Linked DNA regions of Styela clava. The protein of the gene in region 1 binds, or shares a complex with, the protein of each later gene. Links are inferred from orthologs where the notes say so. Each region holds a gene or a part of one and is shown in the gene's direction. Other genes may lie near its edges. The genes, in order: dynein regulatory complex subunit 3-like and dynein regulatory complex subunit 4-like.

What was found.
Region 2: dynein regulatory complex subunit 3-like (region 1) and dynein regulatory complex subunit 4-like share a complex: the UniProt entries of both Homo sapiens proteins name them as parts of the nexin-dynein regulatory complex. The link is inferred for Styela clava from reciprocal best matches to the Homo sapiens genes DRC3 and DRC4.

The regions. Positions count from the first base shown.
Region 1 is NC_135262.1:17,137,668-17,147,804, reverse strand, and holds the start of dynein regulatory complex subunit 3-like, read left to right. Parts: upstream 1-5,578; 5' UTR 5,579-5,755; coding exon 5,756-5,915; intron 5,916-7,161; coding exon 7,162-7,278; intron 7,279-7,593; coding exon 7,594-7,760; intron 7,761-8,269; coding exon 8,270-8,416; intron 8,417-8,975; coding exon 8,976-9,095; intron 9,096-10,137. Other genes in the region: dynein regulatory complex protein 1-like, read right to left, coding at 1,486-3,576. UniProt on the Homo sapiens protein: Component of the nexin-dynein regulatory complex (N-DRC) a key regulator of ciliary/flagellar motility which maintains the alignment and integrity of the distal axoneme and regulates microtubule sliding in motile axonemes.
Region 2 is NC_135262.1:4,091,690-4,101,522, reverse strand, and holds the start of dynein regulatory complex subunit 4-like, read left to right. Parts: upstream 1-5,000; 5' UTR 5,001-5,154; coding exon 5,155-5,157; intron 5,158-5,987; coding exon 5,988-6,095; intron 6,096-6,925; coding exon 6,926-7,009; intron 7,010-7,378; coding exon 7,379-7,492; intron 7,493-8,102; coding exon 8,103-8,309; intron 8,310-8,919; coding exon 8,920-8,974; intron 8,975-9,518; coding exon 9,519-9,724; intron 9,725-9,833. UniProt on the Homo sapiens protein: Component of the nexin-dynein regulatory complex (N-DRC), a key regulator of ciliary/flagellar motility which maintains the alignment and integrity of the distal axoneme and regulates microtubule sliding in motile axonemes.

The DNA.
Region 1 (10,137 bases):
CATATTTATCCCGAAGGAGAGGAAATCCGATAAGACGGCTTAATGATATGGCGAACCACGGCCTCTCGCCCGGTTACCAGTCCAGGTCGGGTATGGGATTAGTTAGCCAGGTATTTGTTTTTTCGGAAGCATGGACTTGATGGTGGGGGAAGCCGTAACCGACCAGCGGTTACGTGAACCACCCTACGGCGGCGAGGAGTCCAGCAATCCTCTCGCACATGATCATCCCCGCATGGGATTCGAACCTGCGATACCACGAAGGTTAACCAAAGATGCGGTGGCGAGCGTATTCCTAACGCTTAGCACGATGCGCCACACCGTCGAGCCAATTGGTAATTCTTTCTCCTGGAATTTTTGCAGCAATCACAAAGAGTGGGTGTCATGACTTGCCGATGTCCGATCATCATGCCGAAGTATGTTTTTTGACATTCATTCATTCTAACCGATGCTTGCAGCGATTTTTTGTCACCAGCAAAGAAAAATGCACGGATAAAACGCTCACTGCAATATTTGAAGCAATCACAAAGAGTGGGTGTCATGACTTGACGATGCCTACCCAGCATGCCGAAGCATTCTTTTTGGCATTCACTCATTCTAACCGACACGATTTTTTGTCACCAACAAAGCAAAATGCACCGAAAGAACACTCAATTGAATACCGATCGAAACGTTGAAAATTAAAAACTATTAAGGTGCACGGATAATAATACCTTGGTTTTAGTTATGATTATCTGGCAAAACATTAGCTTGCTAGATCAGAAACAGTTTGAACGACAGCTTCGATGAACTGAGGTTATCTGAAAAATCAAATCTTGAAATACAAAAAGTTGTCTAGAAAGACATTCAAAGCTAATTATTTACAAATCTCTATTGTATCAGTACATTACTTCCTACCATACGTATGTTTCTTAATTAAGTATTTCGCGCTCCCTAACGCAAACTTTTAAAATAAATTACATATGTGGTTTTCTCAATTTACACATCAAAATATAACATGAAATCTTGGTAGATAAGATGAGCATAGCAGAAGGAATACAAACAATAATTATAAAAACAGGCGGCCCTCAAAACTCTCACTCCTGCGTGAGTTATTCTTTGTGTTACATTCAAAATTTATTGAGGACAAGCTGTACCCACTGCGTTTAATATCGGTATCAGCCAACAACTAACATACCACTAAAATATAATGACTAATGCGCTGAAACACGTCTACGGTGTAGTTTCACCTCACAATGAATCTATGCCCGGTTGTGTTTCAGGCGTAGTTCCTTTGTTAGGTAAATAGTTAATAAAGCTACTAAAGTAAAGATTCACTACTAAATCATTGGTATAAAGAATTGCATTTGAACATCGCATTGTTGAAGGTAATTTTTATAATTGTTTTGATGATAACAATATATATATAGAAAAAACAATCGACAGTGACTACAAAACCAAAATAATATTGTTAAAGAAGAGCAAAATATTAGGAGAAGCACATGTTTTTTAGCTGTATTCAAGTTGAAGGACACGAGTTGGTGGAATCTCGAGCTCTCTGTTGACTTCGGAAGTGATGTATTGGTGGAGTAGCATTCTCAGTTCTGCATTCTGTTGCCTAAGGCTGTCTGTTTCTTTTATTTTAACATCTCTCTCTGTGAGTACTTTGTGATACTTGTCAAACGCTTGTGTCAGTGCATCCCACATCTTCAGTTTGTGCTCTGGAATGATGTTTGCCATTGACTTCCAAAATTGTTCGTCTTGCGAGCCATCACGTCCTGGTGCAGTCAGTTTGTTTGTACCTTTCGATTTTCTTCTTTCTGTAGGTTTGATATGTTCTTGAACAAATTGTTTCAAAACCTTTAAAACTTCATTTGGATGCATATTTTCTTTCCCGTCCATAGTAGATGACACTTCATGATCAAGAGATGATTCACTCACTTCGTCACTGAGTTTTTCTTTGTGTTGAGCAAAAAAGGCTGCCAATTTATGGATGTCATCCTCTGATTCGATATTTAAAGCTTTAAATATTGCATCCAGCTTGATCAATGACCTTTCTTCATTTTGAAGGGGACGTAACAGCTTGTTCAACTTTTCCTCGACAAGAAATCCAGCCTCATCACATAATAGTTCCAAGACTTTCTTAACAGCACTCAAAGAAACTTTTGTACTTGAATGAGACTTTTCATCATCAAATGTCAAAGGCAAACTATCATCCTGTTTTGGTTTTGCCACTGATGCCAAAACTTCTTTGGCCATCATCAAAGCAGATTTTTCCTTTCCTTCTGTAGCTGCCAGCAATGGACCACGGGAATCCATGAATGCGGTATCAGGAGCAGACCACGGCAAGCCAAGCTGTTGCTGATGTATGATGCAGTCTGTATTCAAAACTTTATCAACAAGTTTTCGTACTTCTTCTTCATTCATACACCAGATATCATGAAATTTTTTGTTATCAGTTGCTGAGAAGTGCTTCATCTTTTTATGTAATTCCTTGTATTGCTCTGCTATTCTTTTGTAGTCATCAACGAGTGATTGATTCTCATCTTTGTATGAACGTTCCTGCTTTCCTAGCTTGATTCTAAGGTTATTCAAGACATCTTGAAGTCTGGTAATTTTTCTTTTCTGCTGTGACTTAGTGATGGTATTTTCCTCATCACGTTTTTTTAAGACTTGAAAATTGTATTCTAATTTTTCTTGATTTAACTGATATGTAGCTTTCATTTGTTGCAATTGTTGCTCCAGAATTTGTACATCAGTTTCTAATTTAATCTTCACCATGTTATATTCTTCAGCATCCTGGGTGCGAAGTTGATCCAATTGGCGCTCATGTTCCTCAACTCTTTTTTCTCTCAGTTTCATGTGATCTTCTTCTTTATCTCGTCTCTGCTGCATCATTGAATCCCATTTCCGTCGATCAGCTTTGTTCATATCACTGCGACCATCTGTGTAAGCATCTTCAATTTGTCTCAGCTCTTCTCTGTGTGATTTTGTTAGATTTTTAATTTGTTCTTCCATTCTTTCAATAATGAGATCAACATCTTCTGATTGCTTCTTCAAATCTTTGACATATTCATCATCTTTTTGTTTTAACTCTTGTTGTAAAATATTTATCAATTTATTTTTTTCATCGATCACAGCGTCACAACCTGTTGTTTGCTCTTTCAACATATCATGTAAATCCTGAGGGATCTCCTTCATGCGAGCTGCTGACCATCGTTTACTGATTTCATCGAATTTTTCAGCAGATGCCTTTGCTTCTGCTTCAAGTTTTTCAACCCTTGCTCGTTTAGCTTCTTCTTCAACAATTCGATGACCAGACTCACGAGCATCACCGGCAACTCGTACATTTGTTACAAGTTCATTACCATCTCCAAGGAGTTTTTTCAGGCGTTTTCGACTTTCTTCAATCTGTTCTTTTCCCTTTCCTTGTTCTTCTTTGACTTCTTTTTTCATGAGAGCATCGTCACCCAGAGCTTCTCTTTTGAGCTGCTCGATTCTATGTTGGATTCGGATCCTCCTAGCAAGGATTCTTTCTTCTGGATTTACAGATTCAACCGAAGGCCCACTTTCTTCGTCCCCATCGTCAACATGTAACATATTTGTGGTATGATATGAATCACAAAAACTATTTAACACTATAAATAGACATAAAATAAGATATATTACTTAGTGATAATTAGAAAACACAGAATCAGAATTACTCTGTCATTCAGAGAATGTCTATAGCTATAAGAATTGATTTGATACTTTTATACCGGGTTAAACCCAGTAAATTAATCCGAAGTTTATTCAGTTACCTGAATATTTTAGTTTGCCTTGTTTATACAAAAAGTCACTGCCATTTCAAACACTCAGTGCATCACAATCAAGAGTTTCTGAATTTCTAAGTGACTCAATTTAATCCAATTCAAATCGGTAAGAAGCAATTCTCCAAAATATGGCTCAATTTTATTAAATAAATTATTGGGCAATGAGACAATGTCATGATGAAGTAAGTCTAGTTGTCACAACATCAAATAACATGTCTCCTTCAGTTTTCTTAAATTCTTACATTTAGGGTGGCTTACCCACTTTGCGGCCATGACCTATCTGCGACCATCAACTTCATCGATTAAATTAATGCCGAAAAAATTAACGAACCGCGCCGATATTTCTCACGCGTTATCGTCCACTTATCCCTCGTAGCTCTACGAAATTACACTAAAATGCGGCCATAAATGAAAAAGTTACGACCGAAAACCTGACCGAAGAAAAAAAACGGACCATTTTACCATGTCGCCAACTACCCATTGTTCCTTCAAAAAAGGTTGAAAATCCATACAAATATAAGAGATAAAAAGATGAAACTTGGAAGGTGGGTAGAGTTGTGTTTCTTTTAACCATCTTTAAAGTTTCGCGTCTCTACCTTCAAAGGAGGGGGAGTAGGGGGGTGCGCATTTCCAATACGTCAATAATATCTTTGTCAACTAATTTGCGACCACCGTGTTTTTGTCTGTTTGATTGCTGTGATGCGGTGTTTGTTTATAATTTGAAAAATTTTGTTCGAAATAATCGTATTCTTAAAATATATGACGGTCAGAAATGCAATTAGAAGCCCATTTTTTCACGCATGGCTGCGTATTATCTAGTCTCGACGCAGCAGAAACGATGTTCAAGGATTGAAATCCGTGGTCGCACACTGGTCGTTCGGTCGCAAATACGTCTTCAGAGTGTCGTACTTTGGTGGTTTGTATAGCTTTAACCCCTGGTCGTAGAAAGTTAATTCGAAGTTCAGCGTGTAGAATGAATGCCAATGCACCTACGGTGAAAAAATTAACAGGTTAGAAATATTGGTTTTTGTTTTATAGGGGTTTGAATGAAATCGTCCGCAGACTGGCTACACCACCCTACATCTACTCTACTACTCAAAAACTCATTAAATTAAGTAAGATGTCTTTAAATGACCAAGATACTGCTATTATATCTATTTAGGCATGACTCACTGGAAGACATTCAGACCTCACTACTTTTAGAATTATAGAAAATCACTACAATAACACATTTTGTATATATCAGTAGCGACATTTGTGAGAATTCTCTGACGGTCAGTATCAAATGAAAATCCTATACCCGCTATTGTTTAAAAAAAGCTTACATAGCTGCATATTTCAGTATTTGTCTCGACTACAATAAAATAGGCGTTCGATTTCGACGCATTCACTTTTACCTGACGACCCGTGTTACGGTACCGGTAAGTCTTCCTGCTAGTCATATTTCCTGCTATCTAGTCATAAAATAACCTATCTATAGTTCGAATGCAATTAAATTCAACAAAAACACGATGCTACAGACCACTAAACAGAATTTGTTTCGAAAATAGAACACCTATTCTATGCTTACATTCCTAATCGCGATCAACCTTTTCAACTAGTCATGCCTGGATGATAGTGCTTCGTTTGACTGGTTGCTATGGTTATTATAAAAACCAATGGTGCGAAAAAATTGGCAATCTGTTCACGATATTTTATACTGAATCCCTTTTTTGCTTAAATATCATAAAAAAATTCAATCCAAAGTATTTTATATCTATGTGAATACATTTATACCAACAATTTGGATCCTTTCGTTTGCAAAGTACAGCCCGAATCCATAGCAACGCAGAAGCGCGAAGTGCTTGCCAAAGACTAAACAAATAACACTTATTTTTTTGGTGCTCGTAGTGAGCGGCTAGCGCCGTGATTTTCCATTTTCTGTTTCCTCTGCATATCTCCCTTCCTTGAATATATTTGATTCAAAAATGAGTCGCCTTTATGACACCGTTGAACCTGCGGTAATCGACGATGAAATGCTCAGAAAAGCTGTAGAAGAGCAAGGCCCGAAGGAAGAAGCTGGTCGAATTGCAAAACAAGAAGGAATTGATTACAAAGACGTGTTGTCATTAAGACTAGATTTTAGAAGTAAGTGGTAAAAACGTTATGGCGAAATATATCACAAAAAGGGTAAATAAACCTGTAAATACAATGACAGACAATTTTTTTTGAAAACTTAGCTAGCTAGTTTTTATTTTTACTTTAGGTATATTATAAGTATAATAAGTATAAGTTTATTTCGACTCCATAATCAGCAAAACAATAAAATGAATGCTAAAAATAAATAAATAAAAACTGATTATGAAATCAGGAGAGCGAACAAAACCCTAGATAAGGTTTAAAACGTACAGAATGTATATAAGATGGAAGGTTTTGCCAAGAAGATGTGGTACGTGTTCACTCACCTAAAATAATTGAAATATTTCACACACGCTCACACGCACCCACACACACAACCATATAGAAGTTATTAAGTGAAGGGAACAGGAAAAATTACATCTTACATATTATGCTAAATGGACAATATTCATATTTTGTGGTGATTATAATGAAATTTCAAACTTGAAGTTAGGAAGTCGTGCATATTAAACAATTAACAAGTTTGTACGAGTCAACTATTTTCATGCTCCACTCTGTTGTGTTACCGAACTCGAAAAAAGGGGTCTCCTGTAGTTTCGTACCCATTGTACTTCTACTAGGCGTAGCATAACAATTTTTTTACAAGTCAGTCCTAACCCCCACCTGACTTCGCTATCCAAAAATTACGTCACTACGACGTCACAATCACGTCATAGAGCTTGCCAAACACACATCCGATCGCCCGAAATGGCATCGGTGCCGACGATGAAGAACTGACTAACGTCAGCGATCTCTCTCCTATCAGGATCGCTGCGGCGAAAAAACGAGGGAAATAGCTGTCCGATTTCGGGTTCTCTTCTGCGCGTCTTGGGTGACAGTTCGTATAGTTTGAAGGGCTCTATTACGTCACTGTGACGCCGTAGTGACGTCATTTTTGGATGGTGTTGTCAGGTAGGGGTTAGGATTGACACGTGTTAGTAAATATAATTTTATGAAGTAGAAGCCTTCTACTCATATTCTGACCTGTCAATTTCAGTCTAAATTATCTCTCAAGTTTTCATTTACAATCTTTCCATAGATCTTGCAGTTATTTTTCTCATTTGCTAAATCCATAAAAGCTTAAATAATATGGCTCTTGATAGTTTGGTCAAATATTAGAAAACTTTATTACTGATGCCCATTTGTGATAAATGCAATGGATAAGTTATCTGCTCTGTTTAATTTGTATCATCATTTTATTTTTACTTATTTACAGATATATTGAAGATTGATAATCTTTGGCAATTCACAAAGCTGACAAAATTACAATTGGATGACAATATTATTGAGAAAATTGAAGGATTAGATCAATTGGTCAATTTAGTATGGCTAGGTATGATACTCTCTTTATTTTATCATAAGATGTTATTTCTATCCTTCTTTCTAGTGTTCCCTGCCATCATTGTTTTAATGACATATGTAACTCAAGTTACGTTGCTTTTTTATTATTTATTCATTTATTATCTTGAAGGGGGGGAGGACTTTAGGTCAGAAAAATTTTACAATGAAAGGAATTTTTTGACATAACAGTTGAAAAAGTTAAATTCACCATGAAGTAGAAGCTTCAATCATAAATTGGTAAACCTATTTTTGTATTCAAATATAATTTTAATTACTGTATATTGATTTCAAATACAATGAATTACAGATTTGTCTTTCAACAACATAGAAGTGCTAGAAGGTTTATCAAAATTGACCAAGTTAGAAGATCTGACTTTGTACAGCAACAGAATATCTCGACTAGAAAACATGGATTCCCTCAAAAATCTACATGTACTTTCTGTGGGAAATAACAAGCTTAATCAGCTTGACAATGTAAGAAGTATTCATGTGAATCGCCTTGAATTATACAGTAATCAGACTCAAGTTGATTCAATGAGCAATTTTCATTTTTTTTGCTCATTTGGTATTTCTTTTAGAAAGGAACTAATATTTAAATCAGTGTTTTTCAAATGTTTATGATTTGTGGCATCCTTCCAAAGACCTTCGGTGACCTCGTGCTCTTCTAGTTCTGACTTTAACATGAAGCGGGGGCCCAGTTTGAGGAACCCTGATTGTGCATTTTCTACATCAGTTATAACAAATACTTCCCAATATTTAATCAAAAATGATTGAATTGAGGGTCCGAGTCATCCGAAGTCCATCAAAATTTAAACTTCGAGTTCCATTTAAAGTCACTGTACGTCAAGTCACAAATTCAGTCAAATTGCTATTGTCCCGATTTGTAGTGTATTCCATGAACAACAGTGCATTAGTCATTGACTCTGCTTGAGTCTCCTCAACATTATATTGAAGTATAGCCTTTATGAATTATGTTATTTCAGCTCATCTACTTGCGTCGTTTCACTAATTTACGGACATTGAATTTATCTGGTTGTCCCGTATGTGATGATCCAGGATATAGGTTATTTACTGTCGCTTATCTCTCACATCTCGTGTATTTGGACTTCAGATTAATTGATGAAGACACGGTAAGCGTATGTGATTTAGTTTCATCTGCAGTGAAAATGAAATTAACTGTAGTTAACTTTTTATGAATTTTTTAAGTTGTTGGTTATATGAGATGCAATTTCTGTTAGTGCATTGTTATTAAGTATGATTAAGTCATATGTTCTATAGCTCAATTTTAAGCCCTATGCTATACTCATCATTCATCCAGTGCGACAAAGATAGATTGGGATTTACATACCATACCTATTTATTCCGGGGGAGAGGAAATCAGCAAACCACGAACTCTTGTCCAGTTACCAGTCCATGTGGGGTATATCTCCGCATGGGATTCGAACCTGCGAACACAGGGTAATAGGAGGTACAGGGCGAGCGTATTCCTAACGCTTACTGCCCAGCCAGGTCTGTAACTACTTTTCTATGACCTTGTTCAGAGCAAAAATGTCACTCATTTCATGTATTAATTTTTCATTACATACAATTTCAGTTCATATTTTACAGTTTTTCATCTTTACTTTTACTTATTTTGGTATTAAATTAGCTGTGCTTTCATATTTCATATAAATTTTACTGTATGTACAGAGGAACAAAGCTCACAATCTCTATGAAAACAAGCTCGGAGAATTGATGCATAATGAAAAACAGAAAGAAAAAGAACTAGAAAGGAAAAAAGAAGAAGAACAAGAATTACAAAATGAAAAGGTGAGATGAAATCAGGAAGCAGGGAGTATTGTTCATTTATACGAATGTGGAAGTGATATAGGGCAGCTGTTCCTGAAGGGTTCTGACTAGTGCTCCACACTGAGTTGCCAAGTACACTTCGAAAACTAACAAAATTGTGTTAAAACATAACTTATATATGATTGAATATTTTACTTATTGTATTCATTATAAATGTTTTATTGGTTCTTATTCTAAATGCTGTGTATATGAATCAATATTCTTTCTACGTCGTTTACTTTTTGTCACATTGTATCTGTCTTGCATCTATTGTTGCGTATCTGTTACACAACAATAAAGGTAGACACTACTTGGTATAGAGCAGGGTGGTCCAAGGTTGTCGACTTCGCGGGCCACAAAATTATTTTTGTATTGTTCGTGGGCCACAATAGTGTCAGAAATAGGTAAACAGGAACAAACACTTTATTGTGCAAACAATTGATCATTATTTGTCATTTATCAAGCTAAAACATGCAAAATATCTATGTTTGATATAAAATTTCGAACTATTCACAACGGAGAAAGTGCTCCCGCAAATATAAGTACGTTCGAACATCAGTGGGGTTCTCAAAGCAAAATCCCTCAAAATTTGAAAATGCTCATTGCTCACATGATAGCAAAATGCCGTTCTAGATTATATTTGCCATAACTGCAGATTAATTGATTATCACATTTTACCAAATGTAAGGTAAAGGAGAGAAATTACTAATTTTTCAGACATATTAGAAGCATTTTTGTAATACTTTAGGCTGGTCGCAAAAAATCACCGGAATGATTTATATTCTCAGGCCATAACATTGATATTTATTTAATTTAACTGTTAAATATATTCCCAATCAATAAGATATAAAGCCAGTGAACAATTTGGAATACCCAAGCACAATATTCAACTTTGCTAGTTGCTTCAGCTGGCCGTGAAGTCACTAGTCAATTTAGTGACATTAGTGATGTAACAAGATGTCGAAAAGATTTTCTGATTATTTCTATGACGAAACAACACCAAATGCGATTTTTGATTACTTTT
Region 2 (9,833 bases), about 13 Mb from region 1:
TAGACATATAGTTTATGAGATATAATAAGATTGAGAATTCCCAACAGTGAACAAAACCTCCCTTGTATATTAAGCAGGGTGTTATCTCATTTTAGGGTGAGACTAATGAACTTTAAATGGGTGTCCTATCATTTTATTAATAATATTTGATTCTGTTACATAGAAACGAACGATTTGAACGATAAAATGAATAAAACAACGATTCTGTTTTAAATAACTATTAGAATATTAAATGAATGATAACAGAAAGAATTATCTATTTTAAACAATTGATTAATTTTTAGGTCCCGGAGAAAATATTCATGATTGGCTGAACTGTGAAGCTGGTTGTGTTATAGTTGAAGTTTGGAATTTGCTCTATTTTATTATGTCTATCACCTGTTTTTTAAGTTGTACAATGCTTCTTGTTCACTGACTGAACATGGGGTGCCTGATATTTGCTAAAGTAATGATTTCCATAAGCTACAAATCTTGTTTCTGTGAAACATGGTTCTTACAAAATATTGTGAATGTAAATTACAATCTGTTGCTGCAGCCTCTACATCTGAATTTTTATTATTGTTTGATCCAGAAAACTGACTTTGTAGAGAAAAGCTGGTATTTTTGTAATTATCTGTCAAATGGTCATCAATCAGTGCAGTCCTGTCCCGGTTTCTTCAATCAATGGCTCAAAGCGTTTTATGTGACTCCAGTTCCCACGACCTCGTTTTGAGTGCAATGAATTATGTGGGCAATTCTGTTAGGTTCCAAAATATAGCAACTTTCTAAATATTGCATACTATGTTACGGCCTCGTTCAGAAAGAAGGTAATAAAACGACGTATAAAAGTAGTTTCCAGTAAATAATACTAATGACAAGAAAATTTAGTTATTTTGAGAAAATCTAGATGTCACACTCTAAAGTTCAGAGCTAGGTTTGCCAAAAAATACATTTTTGACGAAAGACCTTTTTTGAGACGCAAAGTTGTAAGCCTAATCGCTTTGCGGTTATTCACATGCTATCTGGGTTGTTACTGTCTTATCGTAAATACTCTTTCCCGGATTTCTTGGAAGAGAGGGTTATGCTGGGCTCCTAGTCATCGTAGACTAGACTAAATACAATATGAAAGAAATATAATAATAGAAGTCGGTAAGACGTTTTATTCATTTTCGCCCAAAAATTGTCCGTGATCGCATGGAGGTTTACTCCAAGTCCTTAAAACTAAAAACTATTCCGTTATCTTATAGCCGTCTTATCATTCCGCGGATTGATGCGAGAGGAATTCTAACCTTTGTAGTCAAACATGGCCATGGTGTCTGAAATCCTCTGAGTCGATCATGTTTGCTGATGACACTAACTTGATTCTTCATGGGGAAAACCTTGAAGATCTATTCACAGTTGCAAACCAAGAACTAACCAACATTCATAGCTGGATGTTAGTTAATAAATTATCTCTGAATGCTAACAAAACTAAATTTGTATTATTCCATCCAAGCAAGCATAAAAGTGTGAGTTGTTCAAAAAAACTACTGCTCAATGGCAATGAAATTGAAAGAGTGAAAGAAATAAAATTTCTAGGAGTTATCTTTGATGAAAATCTGTCATGGAAATCACAAATAATGCATGTTATTGCTAAAACAAAAAGAAACCTAGCAGTTTCTGCCAAAGTATCCCAGTGTGTTGACCAATCAGCTCTACTAGCAATGTTTCAATCATTACTACTTAGCCATATTCGATATTGTTGTTCAGTCTGGCTTCATGGTAATAAAACACTTGTCTCAAAACTGCAGAGTATTTGTAATAATTTTTTAAGAATAGTTTTTGGTAAAAGAAAACGTGAAAGTGTAGACTCTTACTTCAAATCACTAAATATACTTAAGGTTGAAGATATGATGAAATTTGAAATATTATCTCTAGCTCACGACTTCATAATAATGCGCTGCCCAATTGCTTTAATGACATACTTGTCAAAAATACCTCCAACCGAAGAAGTAGTTCTGATTTATTCGTACCTTTCATGAGTAAATCCGTGAGTCAGCATTCCTTGTCTTTTACTGGACCCAAACTTTGGAATTCTCTTCCCTTAAATTTGAAGACGTTAAAGTCCAAAAAATCTTTTCAAAAACAAGTCAAGTCTCATTTAGTTTCCAAATATTAAATATTAAAAATTACTACTGGTGGTATTCGATGACAAAAACTTGGGACACTCCACACTTGCACATTATTGTTTTAATGAAAATGTTGAACAGCTATAATAATACTGTGCCACGACTATAATAATATCTTGCCACGACTTGGCCAGAACTAGTCCAGCACCAAAGAAATGGTATTGTGACATGCATGAGTATATATATATTTTTTTAAATATACAGGTAGCTAACGTACTCAGATGATATTTTCTTTAAATAACTGCACGCATTCTATCACTTCACGCTCGTGTTTTTATCTTTTTCTAGCTGTGATGTCCCTATCATACACGCTTGGTCTTATGTTTGAGTGGTGGTATAAGGGTTGTAGATAGTACAATATTGTTCCTGCAAGGTTACTAATTATTGCAACTAGGCGAGCAGTAGAGCTATGTTGGATTCTCCCCTTCAGATTTTAATTTGCTGTGGGTCATTGTAATTGGATGTGGTTTTTATATCATTTATGTATGCATGCGTTTTATGTTAAGGCATGGTGTTTGAGTTGACTTGTTGGCCAAGGTATAGATAGTAAAATTTTGTGTGTTTTTTGCATGGTGTGATAAATTTTTCTCTGTCCCAAGCAGAATGTCATCATAGATCATCTATCCATCGCTATATAATGACAATACATCCCATTTAATTAAACAATTATTTTTTGCCTGTAATAAATAGTTCAGAGCGTTCCCCTTCACCCAATCATTGAAACATCTACTCGCAGTTTTATTTTTTGTTTTTCAGGTTACTTCAAAGTGATTAAATGAAGTAAAACACATAAGGAAAAAAACAAAAAAGACTCCCGATATCCTGTGAAATAACAACCTCATTCCCATATCCTTGTCTGAAATCAATACCCAAGAATGAAAAACCTCACTTACACCCTTTGTAACCAATTTATTTCCACATCCTACTTTACTTAATTATAGTAATTTTACTGTTACCGGTAACTTAATTACTTATTACAATCTGGACTATAATTTGGCAATAATAGGCTCTAATTTGGGGAATGAAATGGTCTCGCCCACCTCTTCATGCACCCAATTCTGGCAACTTTGGTTGGGCAACTTGGCATTTGACTCCAACTATAATCAGCTTGGCAATATGTTTTCAATAGAATCTTCCTTTTATATACCTAATTAACGATTAGAAGATCGATCAATTTGGCAATGGCAACCATTACAAAAATATCAATATGGTGTGGCAGATAATTTTCTTTTCTAGTATTTATTTATTTATTTTTTTGCTTACTGTATAGTATACCCTAAATTTATCGCGTTTCATTCTTACTTAAATAACTTCTCAGTGGTTGTGTGTGTGTGTGGCTGGTGGGTGCATGTGAGCGTGTGTGAAATAACTTGATAATTTTAGGTGAGTAAACACGTACCACTTCCTCTTGGCAAAACCTTTCATCTTATATTTTGTACGTTATAAACCTTATCTAAGGTTTTGTTTGCTCCCCTGATTTCATAATCAGATTTTATTTATTTGTTTTATCTGTCAAATGTATTGTTATGCTGATTATGGAGTCGAAATAAACTTATACTTATACTTATATACTTATACATCTTAAATCAAATAACGATATTACGATCGAGAGAATGTCGGGCGTTTTTTTAATTCTCTCCTTATTTATATAAAATATTTCGATTCACCTACCTCGTCGCGTCGATGGTGTAACGGTTAGCATTGTTGCCTTCCAAGCAATAGTTCCGGGTTCGACTCCCGGTCGACGCACTTTTCTCTATCTGTCCCATTTTTGAATAAGTTTTAAGCATTCGGTTACCGAAGCAAAAATGCTTTTATTATTGAACAAGATATTGAACTCGAACTAATTGACCTATGGGTGGCAGTTGGAGGTATTTGACGCACACAAACTTTTGTAAAGTCTTGTTTTTCTGACGTTATTTTTACGTGTATATTTCAATTTTGTTTTCAATTCCGTTAGATGATAGATAATGATTTATTTTCCGAATATATCAAAAAATGTAAAATTACAATAAATGGAAAAGAACAATTATAGAATATAATCGGGAGGGGACGGGCGAGACTGCAAGGTCAACTATGGCCACCGACCCCTAAAAAAAGAGAAATTCCTATTATGACAAGACATTCGGGAGTCATGAGAAAACAAAGGCTGTGTATAGATTATTACCTCGATTAATCACAATGATTATTTATTTGATGGGTTACACGTAACATTTCCAAAGATATAATAATATAAGAAGGGGGTACGGCGTTACGTTATACACTTTTGTGTTGTGTTTGCATTGATTCTTGCATGATAAAAATAATTTATCTGAATCTTTCGCATGTAGTTATTTTTCAACTTGCATTTCATATCATATTTGCTTTTTTAGTCAATATATTGCATTTTATGAGAAATTGACCGTCGTGAGATATTTTAATTTGTTTTTATTTATGTTAGTTAACTTATAAATTTATTGAATATCGTAACGAGGGTTCGTCTTTTAGTGATATTTTTGTTTTCAGACAATATTTAACAATTATTTTATATTATGAGGGAAGAAATGATCCCAAATTGATTTTATGAAAAAGCGAGCACGCCAGGATTCGAACCTGGAATCTTCTGATCCGTAGTCAGACGCGTTATCCATTGCGCCACGCGCCCGCACGGCTCCGAGTCACAGAAATTGTATATACATTTTACGGCTCGCTGACCTTTTTTTTGAACTTGTTTGTTCACATTAGTTTTTTTGTATTAGATTGCACTCTTATATTACGTAAAACATTTTTTATAACATGTATTACATGTCTATTTAATTCCAATCCTTGTAATTTTATTTTTTAAAACTCATTTTCGTTCATTGTTGAGAGATATCATGCGTGAAATATCACTCACGTAAATACGAAAATTACCATAGTAACACCGAGAGAAAATTTGATTTCCGTGCTTGTTCGCCTTGCTTTACTTTTTTGGTGTTGCCTTCCAAGTTTTCCCGTCTGGTTGCATTTCGAACGGCAAATCTTCATAATGGTAAGTGTCATATAAGTTTTAGTGTTATATAACTTTATTTCAAAATCTTGGTTATGAATAACCGACTATTTTCAACTCTGGAGCTTAGGAAGCCATTGATTTGGCGGCTCTAGCACCGGGACAATGGGGGAGTTTTTTAATTATCCCTGTTTTAATCTTATCATTTCTTAGAAATTCTACTTTTTTTGTCTAAATGACTAGGGTTGGAATTTGTTTAAAATAATAAATCTGTAAATACTCCCCAGATAAAAATACTACTTGATGCCTCTTTTTTCGGGATCTTCGGCGTGGCGGTGTGGCTCATCGTGCTAATCGTTAGGAATACGCTCGCCACCGCACCTCTAATTACTCTGCGAATCCCAGGCGGGGGGAGGGCTATGTGCGAGAGGATTGCTGGACTCTCGCCGCTGTAGGGTGGTTCACGTAACCGCTGGTCTGTTACGACTTCCTCCACCATCAAGTCCATGCTTCCGAAAACAAATAACTAACTAATCCCATACCCGACATGGAATGGTAATCGGACGAGAGGCCGTGGTTTGCCATATGGTTAAGCTGTATTATCGGCTTTCCTCTCCCCCGGGATAAATATGTAAATCCTATCCTATCTTATTCTGTCTCATTGAAGTCAAAGATGAAGCCACATTCTTGATTTTTCATAGTGTGATGGTCCAACCCAAAATTTCTGGAGTAAGGAGTTTGAAATGAAAAGTAAATTAAATTACTAGAATTAAAAATCAAGCAATCTCTACCCATAAAATCATTGAATAAAGCCTAGTATTAAATTTATGTACTGTAGTTGGCTATTTTCTAATTGTTTCATGCTTTTGCAGCCTCCCAAAAAAGGGAAGAAGGGAAAAAAGGGCAAAAAATCTGCGAAAAAGCCCAAAACCCCGACCGTCGTAGATGGAATGTCAACTGAAGAAATGTCAAAGGAGCAGGTATGTTCTATAAAGTAATGTTTAAACCAGTTTCAAATCTAAATTTTGAAACATAGTTGTATCGCTATGAACTAGGGGTGTGCAAACTTTAAAGAGGAGTGCCAGATATTATTAATACCCCAGTATAACCGGGGGTCGCACCTTTATTTAACATAGGCTTTCTAGTAGTTTTGGTAATTGATCTTATGACATGTGTTGTTTGCTTCTCATGAGCTAGCTGTTAGGGTATTATAACCTCATAGGCATAGATCAGCCGTTCCCAAAAGGTGCAGCGAGTGGCTAAATTCGCCGCGAAAATTAACGGAATTGTGTTAAACATTACTAAAATATGTTTGCATTTTTTAAATGTTCTATAAATGTCCTATTGTTTCTTATTTTAAATGCTGTGTGTATCAATCAATGAATTCATTTTACCCTTCTATGTCGCTTACTTTCTGTTACGTATTTGCCTCAAATGTCACGTAACACTTCAACAACAAGACGTGGCTGACCAGTCATCAGAATGTGCGAAATTACGATGGCGATATCAAAATAAATGGTTCCTTAATTTCCAAGCCCATTGGCTTCTTAAACTTGGGTGGGTGCATTTGCAAAGCTTTGTTTTGAGTGACTGTATGAGACATGAATCACTTAAAACTAATCGGTTAGGCAGTAATTGAAAGTTATACACAAGCAGATGCTATATACTAATCCATGATACTGAACTACCCGTATATATTTGCTGAATGTTCTTTCCCATTGTTTAAATTTTATACTTCTCAATAGTTTTTTTATTTTTTATTTATTAATAAAAACATCACTTTTTATCCACACGATCCACTTCTCAATAGTTGGAGGAGCACATTGGTCGACTTCGTGAAGAATTGGAAAGAGAGAGAGAGGAAAGGAATTATTTTCAACTTGAGAGAGATAAGGTTTGTTTTGATTGTTATTGCGCAATAATTACTAATTATGAGTCAATAACAATGGATTTCCTTGTGTTAAATCTTTATTTTAAAAGAAAATGTGAAAAATTAAAATTAAAAGTGAAATCACTTAGATGTAAATGAGACTCAATTTGGACCAAATTCATGGGCGACCTCTGAAATACAAAAGATATTGTGATAGATATCATAAAATTTTCTTGACTTCATTTTTTAGACGATTGAATTTTTTGATAAATGGTGACTCGTGACTCCACAACACTGGTAATTAATGTTGCAAATTTTTCTTCTTAAAAACAAAGTATATAATAAAGTAAGGGTTATAATAATTAATCAAATTTTTCAAAAATTTTCTTTCAGGTCAACACATTCTGGGAAATCACAAAGCGACAATTGGAAGAGAAGAAAGCTGAATTGAGAAATAAAGATCGAGAAATGGAAGATTCAGAAGAAAGACATCAAATTGAAATTAAAGTTTGTCTCATTTGTATATACTGGGATATAATTCTATATTCATCATTATAAAGGACGACCTATCTATATGGTGAACCAGTCCTTCATCTATTTGTATGTCTGCCTGTTGTATTTTTTGCCGTAATATGCCATGCAAAATTGAGCCACTTGTGAAAATAGTCGAATTGAGAGTAAATGTAAAGTTTGTTTTTAACCTACATAATCAGCATAACAGACAAAAAATAGTTACAAAAAAATATACAAACTGGTTACAAAATCAGAAGAGCAAACAAAACCTTAGGCAAGGTGAAAACAGGTTTAAAACGAAATTCAAATAAAAAGATGTTGTCATAAAGTTATAATATTAAGTCCTACACACATATGACCACAGAGATATAAGGAATTTAGAGATGATGGGCTCTGCATATTTTATTGAAATCATAAAACGGTTGAACATTAATAAAATAAGTTTTAGGGATTCCTGATATGGCAAATATTATTGTCATAAAAGTCTATAAAATTCTAAATTAGTTTTTATTCATGCATTTGTCATTGTCGTGTGGGCTTTGCTCCAAATTTTAATACCAGACTAATCCATCTATGTTGTCTTATTTGATCTTGTGTATCCCAGGTATACAAGCAAAAAGTCAAACATCTTCTGTACGAGCATCAGAACAACATTTCAGAATTGAAAGCAGAGAGTTCGGTGGCTTTGAAGTTATCGCAGGAAGATCACAGGTTACAGGAGACAGACCTCAGAAAAGATAAAAGGTCATTGAAGGTCAATTTGAAAGAACAGGAATTATCTCATGAGGAATCTGTGAAGAATCTTGTGAAGGTATGAGACTAACTTTTCATTATTTTGTTCAATGAAAACTATTCATTTTACATGGTAATTTTAAATATATTTTGATTGTGGACTTTTCTCAGATTCATTACAAGCTCAATTTTAATTACTTATTGACAAATTTGAATATATGAAAGGTAAATTACCTAGAAATACCTAACACAAGTAATAATACCGCACTAGCAAAGGACAGTAATTTGGTGGGGGGTTGGCAATATTATTCCCTGTGTAGGTACAGATCTAAGCTATATTGATTTTGCCATCAAAAATAGGTCTTTTGTCAAATAGCTGTAAATTTTGAGTTGCTTTTTAAAAACATTGCTGTGCAACATTTTTTACCCAACATTTTTCACTTCCCTATGCATCATTATTTTTATACTATTTTCATGATATCAGTTATGTTTTTGACCTTTGATGTGTAACGATATGTCAATTAATAGGAGTTTGCAATGTGTTGCAACTGTAGGATTGTGGGTACTAGGTACCTGGGTAGTCTGTTTTAATTTAATTTTCTAAGCCGATCTCCTCTAGTATTGTTATGAATGTTATATATTTTCATAGTATCCAAATATCTCAATTTCTTTTCCCGTCCTCAACCTAGAAACAAGACGAACACATCACTCAGTTGAGAGAAGATTTCGAAAGACAAGCAAGAGGTATGCGGTGTCAACTTTTGGCTTGATACTGTGTTTCCCCGAAAATAAGACCTAACCCGGTCTTTTTTAAATGGAAACATGTTATTTATAAGTAAATTGACACCAGTTTTCCAATTTTGTATACCGAATTTCTCGTTTTGTAGCCCGGGCCCAGTTTGAGAACCATGGTGTTACGTAATCAATGCTATCTGTTCTGTAGGCCTACTTGGACGCCCAAGGTGTTAGTGTTATCTACCGGCGCTTAAAATTCAACAGCGTTGTGACAAAAGCGCTTCTTATTTCCTATTGTTCTCTACCACTGAAAAAAACATCACCCAAAAATAAGCCCTAGTGTCAATTTTCGAAAGAAAATCGAAATATGACTTATTTTTAGGAAACATGGTAGTTGCCGCATTGTACCATTAAATTAGAAACACACAAACCATAATTTTACATTGTGACAATACACAGGTGAAAAAGCTTTTTTTTCCGTAATTATAAGTAAATAGTGCTGGAAAAATAGCTATTCAATTGAAACAATGGTCTTCTTTCTTTACAAATTCAGAAATTGAATCAAAATATGAGCGCAAGATGCGTGTACTTCGGGACGAACTTGAACTTCGACGAAAGACAGAAATTCATGAAATTGAAGAGCGAAAGAATGGCCAGATAAATGCACTCATGCGAAACCACGAGAAAGCATTCTCCGATATCAAAAATTATTACAACGACATCACACTCAACAATCTGGCTCTCATCAATTCATTAAAGGTAAGAAGCTTTGGTTATGATTCCTAGAAATGTCAATTCAAGCGATTTAACCCCAAAATGCAAGACTTGAAACTGCTTTTAGAAAATGAGGAGAACGGATTTTGAAACT